2 linked regions of the Stegostoma tigrinum genome follow. The protein of the gene in region 2 interacts with the protein of the main gene of each other region in a pairwise test. Links are inferred from orthologs where the notes say so. Each region holds a gene or a part of one and is shown on either strand. Other genes may lie near its edges.

The links.
Region 1: the proteins of jade1 (region 2) and yju2 interact in a two-hybrid assay, tested with the Homo sapiens proteins (2 studies listed by BioGRID and IntAct). The two-hybrid records come from large-scale screens. The link is inferred for Stegostoma tigrinum from reciprocal best matches to the Homo sapiens genes JADE1 and YJU2.

The regions. Positions count from the first base shown.
Region 1 is NC_081383.1:33,067,363-33,074,368, forward strand, and holds the start of yju2 (splicing factor YJU2), read right to left. Parts: upstream 3,026-7,006; 5' UTR 2,964-3,025; coding exon 2,940-2,963; intron 2,695-2,939; exon of another isoform or gene 2,569-2,694; intron 554-2,568; coding exon 453-553; intron 1-452.
Region 2 is NC_081354.1:19,716,875-19,723,796, reverse strand, and holds the start of jade1 (protein Jade-1), read right to left. Parts: upstream 3,028-6,922; 5' UTR 3,016-3,027; coding exon 2,967-3,015; intron 1-2,966.

The DNA.
Region 1 (7,006 bases), on a different chromosome or scaffold from region 2:
CACTCTTCCTAGAGGAACAGAGAATTAAAATTGAATGATTGAGTTTGTTTTCCCCCTAGACAGTAGCTGTGGAAGAGTTTGTCAGCTGGTATAACAAATGCAGATTTACCGCATTCTCGGCTGTTTTTTATGTAGAAGGCCATATCATGACAGATTTAGGAACCTGGTAACATAAATTGTGAGTATACAATGATCCACAAAGGTTGGGGACATATCTTCCACTGTCTATTTACCCAATGATGCTACGATACTGGGACAGAATGTGGGACACATTATGTGCAAGCTAGTGGAGAAATCATATCAGGTAATTGCTTGTGAATGCTAACACTTTAATTTCCATTATTAAATTAAACTTATTATTAAACAATGTAAGCAATACACATTCTTTAGGGCATACAAAATTAATTCAAAGAGGTTAGCAGGTGAGATGTTGATGAGCAGCTTGTGCCTACCTCATGTTGAAAGGAGCCATTAATCGGACCACATACTGACGATCTTTGGGAAGTTTGAGTTTTGGGATTTTTGACGGATCAAAGTCCGGTGGGTAGTATTTCTGTTGGAAAGAAAAGAAACACAGTCATCAGCATTCTTTTAGGAATCGTACAGTTTCCTGTTCATTTGTATGCTGAAAAAAGTGATGGATGTTAGAATTCAGAGAGGTATTCAAGCATTTGGTTCATTGGTAAACAGAGTTCCTCCACTGTCCAAATTTCAGAACAGCACACCAGCAGCACTAAAAATTTATCATTTTAACCCTTTAGCCATTCTGTTGACTCTACCACTTGGTACAAAATAAACTGCAGTTTTATGCATTCAATCAACATGTTCGGAATTAGTCTGATACTGCCTGGGCTCATTTCACATACAGCTCTTCCGACCAGTTCATCAGATTCTAGGTTTATTTGTTTCCAAAAAAGATAATGAAATTGGCTAAAAATTAATTCAGTAAAATCCAACCAAATTACAGGTCATGTGTTACCATGAGCACAAACAGACCTTTCTGATAATTTGAAATACCTTTCATGGATATCTTTGATAGGAATATGTTGGACAATGAGGTTACAGATTGTAGTTAAACATAATTCAGTTGTCGCTGGTGGCTTACAATGCCTCCAGGTTTGAATTGCTGGATCTGTTTGAAATATGCTCGAATTAGCACAGTGATAAAGTCACATGACACAAGGATATCCTCAATGAGAAGAGGATTCTGTCTTAACAAGGATGAATCAGGCTTATCATTTATAGAGTCATAGAGCACAGAAACAGACCCTTCAGTCTGATCAGTCGATGCCGAACATAATAGTTCCACCTACCTGCTCCTGGCCCATATCCCTCCAGACCCTTCCCATTCATATATCTATCCAAATATCTTTTGGACATTGGAACTGTACTTGCATCTACCACTTCATCAGGAAGTTCGTTCTACACGTGAACCACCCTCTGTGTAAAACACTTGCCTCATATCTATATAAAATCTCTCTCTTCTCACCTAGAAATGTGTCCCCTAGACTTGAAATCACAAAATCTAGGGAGAAGACAAATAACATGAATTCTATGTATACCTCTCATTATTTTATAATTTTTTATCAGGTCATCTCTCAACCTCCTACGCTCCAGTGGAAAAAAAGTCCCAGCCTACCCAGCCTTCCTTTACAACTCAAACCTACCATTCCTGGCAACATCCTGGTAAATCTCTTCCGAACCTTCTCCAGCTTGATAATATCCTTCCTATAACTAAGCAGCCAGAGCTGGACACAGTATTCCAGAAGAGGCCTCACCAATATCCTGTACAATCTCAATGTAAAGTCCCAACTCTTACACTCAAACGACTGAGCAATGAAGACAAATGTGCCAAATGCCTTTTTAACCACCTTGTCCACGTGTGACACAAACTTTAAAGAATTATGCACCTGCATCCATAGGTCCCTTCATTGTACAACACTACCCAAGGCTCCACCATTATTTGTATAAACCCTACCCTTGTTTGTTGCACCAAAACGCAATACCTCACGTTTATCCACTGAACTCCATCTGCCATTTTTCAGCCCATTGGCCCATTTGATCAAGATCCCTTTGTAATCTTAGAAAACCTTCTTCACTGTCTACAATGTCAATTTTAGTGTCATCCGTAAACTTACTAATCAAGCTTTCTATATTTGAGAGCACTAACAGAACAAGCATGTATGAAGAGACTCTAACCTGATGAAAGAGTGCAAGTACAATATCTGCTATTAGAAAAAAAAACATATTTATACAGATTTTAAAATGCTTAATTAAGCACAATTGAAAATGATATTTTTGTTACCTAAGCAAAAAGATTACAACAATGCAAATAAACGCTTATTAATAAGGGAGAGGACGCAAGAAGAATGATGTACAATTCTTCCAAAAAAATACTAACTGGAGGTTTAAAGGGGCTTCAGCTGTAAAGCAAACCCAGCTTTATTCCATCACAGATGGACTGTCTGATGTGATTATAGTACACAGAACACTGCAGCACAGCACAGGCCCTTTGGCCCTCGATGTTGCGCCGACCTGTGAAACCAATCCGAAGCCTACCAAACCTACACTATTCCATTATCATCCATATGTTTATCCAACGTCCATTTAAATGGACTTAAAGCTGGCGAGTCTAGATGTTCAGTGAGCCTTGGATTTTCGTATGTGAAGGATGGGTGCTGTTCACTGGAGCCAACTGCACCCACTGGGGAACACACACACAGGCAGGGCCCATCTGGGGGGCGCGGGGGTATAATTTGGGACTCACTGGGGTCCCACTGCCAGGCGAGCTGTCCTGGGCTGGTGCTCAGTCTCAGGTGCTAACACCAACGGCCCCACAGGGTGGGGATAGGAACGGGGGGGGTTGTCAGCGGTCACTTTCTGTGTCCAAACACACCCCCAACATTCACATTCTCACTCTCCCCCTCAACCCCACTCACATTCAACACTTTTCTCTCCGACATCTTTCACGAGCCGATGATCTAGGCCCCGCCCCTATTCCGCGCCCATTGGTTCGCATCGCCACCCTTTCCCGCTCCCAATGGTTAATGCAACTGTCAGTCAGCGGCTGCCGGAAGCCGCTCCGCCTGTGCTCCGGCCGGACACCAGCCGTCGTTCCGGTCTCGATCACCAGTTTAGTTATTTCACATTTTTCTCACGTTATTTTTTAGCCGACAAAAGTTTTTTTTGCCAATTTACCGAAACTATTGACATCTCTCTGTAAGCTGTTTGTACCCCTCTCGCAATTTGCCGTTCCATTTATTTTTCAACTGTATTTTCCACCGAATATAACCAGTATCCCTCTATTCCTGTTAAATATTGTACCATATGATGCAAGATGTTTGATGGAATTAACTCACAAAATGTTGAAAAGTTTCCATGCTTTGGGAAGAAGGAATGCCACCATTTTAAATACATAGTCAGAAATCGGACAACACCAGGTTACAGTCCAACAGGTTTATTTGAAATCACAAGCTCTTGCAGGGCTACCCCTTTGTCAGGTGAAGCTTACAGACACAACATTCTTTGGGTAGATATCCTCCAAGGCAGCCTTTGGGATACACAGCAACACAAAATCGCGGACCAGAACCTGACAGTCAAGTAACGTTTCCATGAAGACGGCCTCAACCGTGATCTTGGGTTCATTTCGTGCTACATGTAACCCCACCGCACTGTTCTGTATCTGTAAAATCTTCCTTACTGCCTTGTCTTATCACCATAACCTTGTTAAAGTGCTATGATCTCGCTACTTTTATTAGTTTGTGCAGTTTTGGGATTACTTATTACTTTGATTAGGCTTTGGCATGCGACTCATACCTATCATGTTATTCTAATCATTTGGTTTGTCTCTGCCACCACCTTATTTTTAATTTTTTTGTTATTATCTCTCTGCCTCATTTAATCAGATTATAGGTCATCCCTTCACTTGTTATTCTGCTGTTGACACTTTACTCACACCATCTGACTCTTGATCACCTACAGAGACTTATTATTTGGCCTGACCACACTTCATTCACACCTTTTAGATGATCTTTTGATCTCTGTACCATCGATTTGTCTGCCTATAAATTCTGTGCCTGTTTGGTCTGCTGTCTCATTTCAGCTGACGAAGGGATTGTCTTCCAAAAGCTTGTGATTTCAAATAAACATGTTGGACTATAACCTGGTGTCATCCAACTTCTGATCTTGTCCAACCCATTCCAACACCAACCCCTCCATATTTTGAATACACAGAGACTAGCTACCCCTAGTCCTGAACCAGGTATTAATTTGTAGAATCATAAAGATATAAATAAGTTGCTATGTTTCACATTCACTTTATCCCTCAGTCTCCTGTAACGATTTGACCCTCTTTGACTGCAGTCCTAGTGCCAACAGCCAAAACCTTATTCTTCATGCGTTAATCCAGACATCAAGCCACAATAGGCTATTTGACTGCAGTGGGCATCAGGTAACCAAGTCAAGTCATCTCCACCTGAGAATGTATCTCACCAGTGTGGGCTGGATAGTGATCATAATTTGAATTATCTTCTTCCTTCCCAGCCTGGAGTTGTAACCTTAAAGATTCATTTAAAAAAAGAAAGAAAATTTTTCATTTACATAGTGACATTGACAACTTCAGGATTTGTCACAAGCTTTCCTGTCAACCTGCCTTTCAATCTATTTTTATATCGTTTGCAGATTTGGTTCCAGCACATTCACTTTTTGTCTCCAGGTCTCTGATATATATTGCAAACAGTTGCACTCCCAGCACCGATTCTTGTGGAACCCCAGTGTTTACAGGTTACCAATGTGAAAAAGAACCCCTGATACCCACTCGCTATTTCCTGCCCATTAGCCAATTCTGTACCCATGCTAATGATACTGTAATAATACTGTACCAATACTCACTCATCTCAATCTACATGGACGAGGACAACCACCAATTCGACTGGGACAACACCAAGACCCTGGGACTGGCTAGGCAGAGACAAGCACGAGAATTCCTGGAAGCATGGCACTCCACGAAGCATGCTATTCATCAACACATTGAACTCGACCCCATATACATTCCATTACGAAGGAAACCCGGGGTGATGCAATCCATCTTTACGGACCCCAGCGTTTAAAAACCAGGTGGGAAAACACACTGACACTTCATCAGACGCTGCACTGAGAATGTTATCAAGCATGGCAATGAAATGTCTGCAAAGCAACAAACCAGCTTGGTGAGCCAACCAACCTCAATGCTAATATACTACCTCCAACACTTTGGGCTCTTATGACATAAACTTTTTTGAGATACCTTGTCAAATGCCTTCTAGAAGTCCAAATACAACACATCTGGTTCCCCTCTATCCACTCTTGGTGAAACATCGTCAAAAAAGTCTGATAAATTAGACATAATTGTCCTTTCATAAAGCTGATTTTGTTTGAGTTAATTATGATTTTCCAAATGTTCTGCTTTTACTTCCTTCATAAATGATTCCAGTATTTTTCCAATAAGCGATGTTAGGCTAATCGGCTTATTGTTAACCTCTTTTGCCTCCCTCGTTTTTTGATTAGGGGTGTCACATTGGCAGTCTTGCAATCCTCAGGTATTTCTCTAGAATCCAGTGACTTTTGGAAAATTATAACCAATGCAGCCACTATCTGAGTGGATACTTCTTATAGGATCCTCGGATGTAAGCCATCAGTGGGCCAGGGACTTCTCTGCCTTCAGCTCCATTAGTTTATCTAACACTACTTCTCTAGTGTTGGTATTTAATTTCTCTCTACATCCTTTACTATTAATGGAATTGTTCCACTATAAAGACTGATGAAAAATATTTGATTAACTTCTGCCATTTCCTTGATCCCCATAACTATCTTCCCAGAATTATGTTCTAAAGGTCCTATGTTCACTTTGACCTCTCTTCTTTTTGTATTTATTTAAAGAAGGTCTTATTGCCAGATGTTACATTCCATGCTAATCTGCCCTCATGAACTGTGGCTAATAGATTTGTCCAAACCATAGAATCAGAGAAGCCTCATGGTGCAGAAGGAGATCGTTACGCCACTCTGTACCTTACTGATCTTCCAGCATGGCGTTGTCTTTGACTGAGTGTTACAGACTTGCGCATTCCAAAGTCCGGGATTACAGGCTGAGGGATATGCTAAAGCTTCAGATAGCTGCTGCAGAGGTGAAGTGCAGAAAAGTCATTCAGGTTGTTGAGTAGATTTGTAGCTTGGGTTGTGAATGCTGTGGTTGGTTGGCTCACTGAGCTTGTTCATTATTCCGCAGACATTTCATTACCCTGCTGGGTAACATAATCAGTGCAGCCTCCAATGAAGCACCGTTGTGTTTTCCCACCTGGTATTAAAACTCTGGTTTCTGTTGGATTTGATTACCTCATTTCCGGTTTTCCTTCGCAGTGCTGTATATATATAGGGTCTAGTTCTATGTATTTGTTGTTGGTCCTCTTGGTGGAGAACCAAGCCTTTAGAAATTTCTGTGCTTGTCTCTGTTTGGTCTGTCCTAGGATCCTGGAGTTGTCCCAATCGAACTGGTGGTTCTCCTTATCCATGTAAATGGAGATGAGTGAGTATTGCTTGTGTCTTTTTGTTGCTAGTTGGTGTTCATATAAAAAAAAATGACCAATACTCACTCATCTCCATTTACATGGATAAGAAGAACCACCAGTTCGATTGGGACAACACCAGGGACTTCTAGAGGCTTGGTTCTCCACCAAGAAGACCATCAACAAATACATAGAACTAGACCCTATATATATACAGCGCTGCGAAGGAAAACCAGAAATGAGATAATCAAATCCAATGGACCCCTGAGTTTAAATACCAGGCAGGAAAACACAACAGCGCTTCATCGAGGCTGGAGTGATGATGTTACCCTGCAGGGTAATGAAATGTCTGCGAACGACCAAACCAGCTCGGTGAGCCAACCAGCCACAGAAGAGCCACGATCTAACACCTTTAGCTGGAGCACACTGAGTCTGGAGGCTGTAAAAGCATTTGGTTGTGTGCCTGA
Region 2 (6,922 bases):
TTTTTGGCAACTACCCTTGTTGAAGAGCCTGAGTTACTCAGCATCTTCATTTCATGGTTTGGGAGAATTTGTTTCAACAGATGACCTTTCAACATCACACCAGCATCTTTCAGGGATCGTATCACATTTCCAAGGAGGATTGGAGGGAGTTATATGTCACATGGATGACGTTGTGATCTATGCGTCTACTCAGAACATGACACTGGAGTGAAGTGTGAACTATGCTGCAGTATTTACAGGAAATGTAATGACTGTTTAGTTCCTTTGGCCTAATATAGTTACATCCAGTGTCAGAGTTGACAAAGAGGGATAAAGCAATCAAAGAGTTTCCAGCTCCTCAGAACTTGACTGAGCTCCACAGATTTGTGGGATTAATAAGCCAAGTCAAAACCTAGCTGTCATCACAGAGCCACAATGTATTACAATATGTACAACTATTACAATATGGCAAGACAAGGTGCTGAGAAGCACAGAACTTCTTTTGAAGAAAATCAGATCACACAATATTTTAGCTCAATATGACCCAGAACTACACATCATTATGGCTGCGAACCCACGTTCTACAGAACTGGGAGCTACACTGTTTCAGATAAAGCCTGATGGAAAGTGTAGCTCAATTTATTACACCTGTTCCATGACAGACAAATGATAAACAAAGATATGCAGTGATAAGGAAAGACTCATTAGACACTACAGATTCGTGGAAAGTTCAAATTACGTTACTGGTCTTCACTATACAATGGAGATGACCAGAAACCCTTTAACAACAGTTTTAAATTCTAAGGAGTTGACTAAAATGCCATCATGAGTGCAATGATTCAGACTGAAGATAATGTAATTTGATGCAAAGACAGCACATATTCTGGGGAAACAACAGATGCTTTGTCACACATTTTCTCATGGCAAGTCCTGAACAAGGTGATGTGGTTTTCGTTAAAGTGGTGGAAACCTTTACATCAAAAGGAACCAAACTCTTCCAACAATAATTCAGCAGTTAAATGAAATCAGAGATGGACAGAAAACTGATGGAGAATGTGTGCAGGTCAACAATACCACGCCAAAGGATAGCCAACGTACATGTCACACAAACCCATTCTCGGACTGTATAATGAGGGAGGACATAGCTTAGTACGGTGGATGATCTACTTCTTGTGACGAGAGGTCAGTTATTCTGAGAGTCCTCTGAGACTTGATAAACTTCACCAATTACAGAGAGGACATCTGGGCATCAGAAAATGTCAAGCCAGAACAAGACATTCTGTTTGCTGACCATGTCAAAAATTAATAGAAGAGATCATATCAGGCTGTATTACTTGTAAAGTTTATTGTCAGGAGAACCATTAATATCATCTTCCTATCCATCCAGGCCATGAGAACATCTTGGGGTGGACCTCTGAACAAAGTAAAATGAAACGATAGATATGTCAAGGAACTCCATGGCCACAGTGATTACATGGCTGAATGAGATAGCTGCAACACAGGATATCCCAGAATTTATCATCATGGCAGGCCGCAGATTGGCAACATTTTGAAGAGGTCACAGCATCACATGCATGTGTCCAAACTGCAAGCTTAACAAGGCACCCTCAAGCCAATAGTGAAGCTGAATGAGGAATGTAAAAACACTGAAGAACAACATTTAACGTGAGCTATCATATCACTCCAAAATAGTTCAGCTTTGTGTCAACTCTTCCTTGGAAAGATAAAGAACCAAATGCTATGGGATAAAGTTTCATATGACCTAATGTCATCCAAATGTTTCTCTTGCAATCTCACGGCCAGACGAAGCTAGTTCTATGTTTCTTAAAATAACGTTAACGTTTCTTTAGCTCAACATACGCTAAGTATTCAACGGAAGATCGAAGACTTTAATGCCATGAGGTTGATTCCCAACATAACTAACTTTGCCGCACTTTCTTTAAATTAATTGTGGCGAATGGCAGCAGCTGTGTTTGCACTAAAGCATTCCAGAAGTCCACTCAGATTCTTTTACCCCCTCATAAAAAAAAGACAGAAATGAAACTAAATTCAGGAAACAAAGCCCCATTCATAAATTTTAACAGTTCTAAAATTGTGCTAAGAGGATTTGAAAAAAACCCATTGGGGGACGGTTGAGTGAGGTTATGGTTCGTGTAAACAATAGTAACCGCGTGCGCGCGGGAGGGAAACTAGAAGCTTTATTGCACACGTCCACACACAAAACTGACATTCGAGAGGCAGAAAAAATCCTTTTAAACAACAGCTACTTGGAGCTGGTATCCTAAAGTCCCACAGCCAGTGCACCTTTTTACAGAACACTTCTTTTTAACCCTTACAGTGCCTCAAACCTGCGCAATGCATGTTAAGAGATCAAGTCCTCATCCCTTTTCTTCTCTATCCTCAATTCACCCCCACCCAACCAAAAAAGCCGGGACACTTGTTCGAGACTCTTCCCACCCACTACATTAAATCGATGCTGAGTTTAGGCACGAATGCTTCCGCTAGGAGTCTATTTCCTTCTGCAATTTAAATAATGCGATGCTCAAAATAACCATCGCTCCCCTGTCCCTGGAGGGAGAAAGCCAAAAAAGAAAGAGAGCTTGCTTCGCTGCAGGTTTGCGCGCCGCGAAGTGAGCACGAGCCGCTGGCCCGGATCCGCGAGCCGGACCCGGAGCGTTCTATCCGCGTCACGTTCCACGCCGCTTTGCAACAGTGGCTGCAAAAGGATACAGTGTATCCCAACTAATGGATACACAGAGGGAGAACCCAGCCGGGACTCCCCAAACAACTCCGCACAACCCCACATATGCTATCACTGCGTACTGCCAATGAAAACCTGCCGCAAATTATTAAAGCCCTACAAGCAGGATATTAAATAACGCCGCCGGCAATGTTTAAATAGAAACCCTGATGCATATTCAACACTGCAGCCGCCCCTCAACTTTTGCAAAGAGAAACAATTCCTCCACCCCCCCACCAATACACACCCCATGTCGTTTCTTCGCTCTGTTCCCCCCCGCTTGCGCTCTCACTCATATCACACACAAGCTTTTGGCGCCATATTAATGACGTACTATATTATTTCCATCATCAGCGACCTTCGGAATTAAATTGCTGAACTAAAAGCCCCTTTGCAGGCCAAACTCGGCCAAGAACGGAAAAGACATCAAAAGCTTGACATTTTTTTTAAATCTCAGATCTCGTCCTCTCTGCTTTCTCTTTCCTCCGTACTGTACTCCCCATCGTCCTGCTTTTCTTTCCTCCACAATTATTTACAACCCCCCCTTAAATAACGAGCCCAAAAACGCTTAGAAAGTATTGAAAGAGGACAGTACCTGCTGTAATATTTTTGTGTGTGTTTGTATTTGTTTTTGCTTTAAAGCTGGTCTGTTGAGGTGAAACTGGATAGAAATGAAGATTTTTTTGAATGTGGAGTTCAAACAGCTGCAGTAGCAGATTGTGGCTCCCTCTATCTCTCTTTCTCGCTCCCTCTTTCACATATGCACTGACTGACGTTGGTCCTTATGGTGGAGTTGGTTGGGTGAAGGAAGAATTCTGTCTTCTCTTTCTGTTAGTCCACACTTGCTGCCAGACGAGGGAGCACTCCCATGTCTTGTCAACAGCATTACTGTAAACCTCCTTTGCAATCTAGCTTTCGTTTTCCACAGAAAAAAATTCTAAAACTTGATACCTTGTTTAACGTGCGAATTTCAAAAATATGTTCAGGAAGGAGGGTATTTTTTTAAAATGATGCAGTTCTGTTCATACTATGTAGCAAATAAGCTGTGAAGAAGGAATTTGCATCTAATGCCATTTACAACGCATTTTGGAAGCATTAATCCCTTTTCACTGAACACTAAGTGACATCAAGAGTTTAATTGTTATCCATGTTGCGGGTCAGTGCCCTAGCTTTCCTGCATGTTGAAAGGCATGGGTCGGTCCGGATTACATGTTTTGCGAATGGGTACGTTCTATTTGCTAGAAGAAAAAATTGTGACGTCCGAATTTGTGGCCAGAAAATGTGATTTTTTTGTGAAAGAAGAGTAATTACAGGAATGTATTCGATGTCCTTTTCTTTCACTGTCACCTGCAGTATTGTTCAGGTGAAATTGGAGGACGTGGCATTGTAGAGAAGGAGGGAAATGTTGGTACTGCACCGTATTGGGTGAGGGAAGAGGAAATGTTGGCATAAACATCGAAATGCTAGACAAACTGGGCAGGTCTTTTCAGCATCCTCTGAGTGGAAAACAGAGTTAACGTTTCGATTCCGATATGACCCTTCTTCGAAACTCTATTTTCAGATTTCCCGAGTATTCTGCTTATATTTAAGAGAATATTTGCATTTCACTTCAAACAGGCAGGTTTGCTGTTGCTGAAATCGGGGGAGGTCTTCAGGGTTGACAGCAAGTTAAATCCGAAATTGCTGGCTTTGGAGTGAGGCGGAGTTCTTGATGTTCGACAACACGTGGGAAGGGAATATCTCGAAGATCGAGCATGTGAAATAGGAGTGCAACTGATTCGTTTCAGCGAAAATGAAATAAAAACTGCGGGTGCTGAAGGTCTGAAACAGAAAACTGCCGGCGGAATTCAGCAGGTCTGTCCAATTTGTGGGAAGAAAGGAGAATTAACGTTTCGAGTCCAGTGACGCTTCATTAGAACCGATAGTAGTTGGGAAAATGTGGTATTTATGCTAAAGACTAGGTTGTGGAAGCAGGAGATGGGCAGATTGGTCCAAGTGTGTGCGTGAGAGAGAGAGAAGCAAGAAAGCGGGAAGTAAACTACTGGATTATGGATAACAAAGTGTGGAGCTGAATGAACAAGCAGGCCAAGCAGGATCTTAGGAGCACAAAAGCTGACATTTCGGGCCTAGACCCTTCATCACAAAAGGGGGATGGGGAGACCTGTCCGACCACCCTGGACTGACCTATCCCCACCCATACTCTCCTCTCCACTTCTCTTCTCCTCTATCCTTCTGCGGTCCGCCTCCCCCTCTCTCCATATTCATTTCAAAACCCTCTCCCCATCCCCCTTTTCTGATGAAGGGTCTAAGCCCAAAACATTAGCTTTTGTGCTCCTAAGATGCTGCTTGGCCTGCTGTGTTCATCCAGCTCCACACTTTGTTATCTTGGATTCTCCAGCACCTGCAGTTCCCATTATCTCTGATCACAATTGTAATCTTACTGCGATGCCTCCTCCAGGATGCCTAACCTGAAGAAGTTACCCTCCTCCCTCGGAACCAACCTCAGGTGATCTCTCTCCCACTGCAACTCTCTTGTCATCTCCCCTCCCCCCACTGCATCCCAAAACCAGCCCAGCTAGTCCCCGCCTCCCTAACCTGTTCTTCCTCTCACCTATCCCCTCCTGCCACCTCAAGTGGCACCTCCATTTCCTACCTACTAACCTCATCCTGTCCCCTTGACTTGTCCATCCTCCCCAGACTGACCTATCCCCTCCCTACCACCCCACCGATACTCTCTTCTCCACCTATCTTCTACCCGATCCATTTTTGGTCTGCCTCCCCCTCTTTCCCTATTTATTTCAGAACCCTCTCCCCCTCCCTCTTTCCTGATGAAGGGTCTAGGCCTGAAACGTCAGCTTTTGTGCTCCTGACATGCTGCTTGGCCTGCTGTGTTCATCCAGCTCCACACTTTGTTATCTCGGATTCTCCAGCATCCACAGTTCCCATTATCTACTGGATTATAGATGCTAGTCGAGGACAGAAGGGAAAGTAGCTCATTAAATGATAATAAGAGCGTAGGGGAGCAGAGATCCGGTAGTCTGTGCTGAACAAACCACGTCATGGAACCATTGAGATCTATGTCATGACAGAACTGGGTGCAGGGTTGGATATAAATACATTGAAGAATGGAAGCAGGCTGTAAAGTTTATGAACGCAATGTTGAGCCCTAGAGGATGCAATGTTCCCAAGCGGAAAATGAGACACTGTTCTTTCAACTTGTGCTGAGGATCGCTGGAACACTGCAGCAGGCCTGCGGCAGAAATATTGGTGTGGAAACATGGTGGTGTGTTGAAGTGGCGGATGACTGAAAGCTGTGGGCCATTTTCATACCTCTTTCTCTCCGGGCTCCGGGCTCAACAAAATGATTTGGTTGTGATGTTACTGTTTTCCATTAAAGCAAAAGTAAACATCATTTGCTGTAGTTACTTGCTCTTTATCAACCAGAAATTCTCTCCCAAGTTAAAAAAAAGGCATTTGATAGTTTAAATCTGAGCCTTTATCTGAAAAAAACATTTAAACTGCATTCTTCATTTTGTTTGCAAATTACTTATCAAAGCAAAGAAATTCAGGGGTCGTCGTACAACACAAAGGAAAAGCATTGCCGCGTTGCGGATCTGGCAACACCCAGCAAGTAGCTCCTTAAACATCTATCTCAATCTCTGCCCATCCTTTCTGTTATCAGAATAACTTCTAATATCCACAAGGCTCCACCTGCTTTATGAAGACCACTATCATCCTGGTGCCAAAGAAAACTCATGCAGTATGACTCAATGACTACCACCCCATGGCTCTGGCCTCCATAATTATGAAGTACTTTGAGAGGTTAGTAGTGGCTCACATCAACACCTGCCTGCCAAATTGCCTTGACCCTTTGCAACTCATCTACCAGCACAACAGGTCCACGGCAGATGCCAGCTTCCTGGCCCTACCCTCATCCTTAGTACACCTGGATAAAAAGGATACCCACATCAGGCTCCTACTTATTGACTTCAGCCCTCCCTTCAAGAGCATAATTCCAAACAAACACATCTCTAACTTTCAAGACTTAGGTCTTTGCTCCCCCAGCTGTAACTGGATCCTCTATTTCCTAACCCATAGACTGCAATCAGTAAGAATAGGTAATAACAACACTTCAGTCATAATCCTCAACACTGGTACCCTGCAAGGCTGCATACTCAGCCCTATAATGTACTCCTTATACAC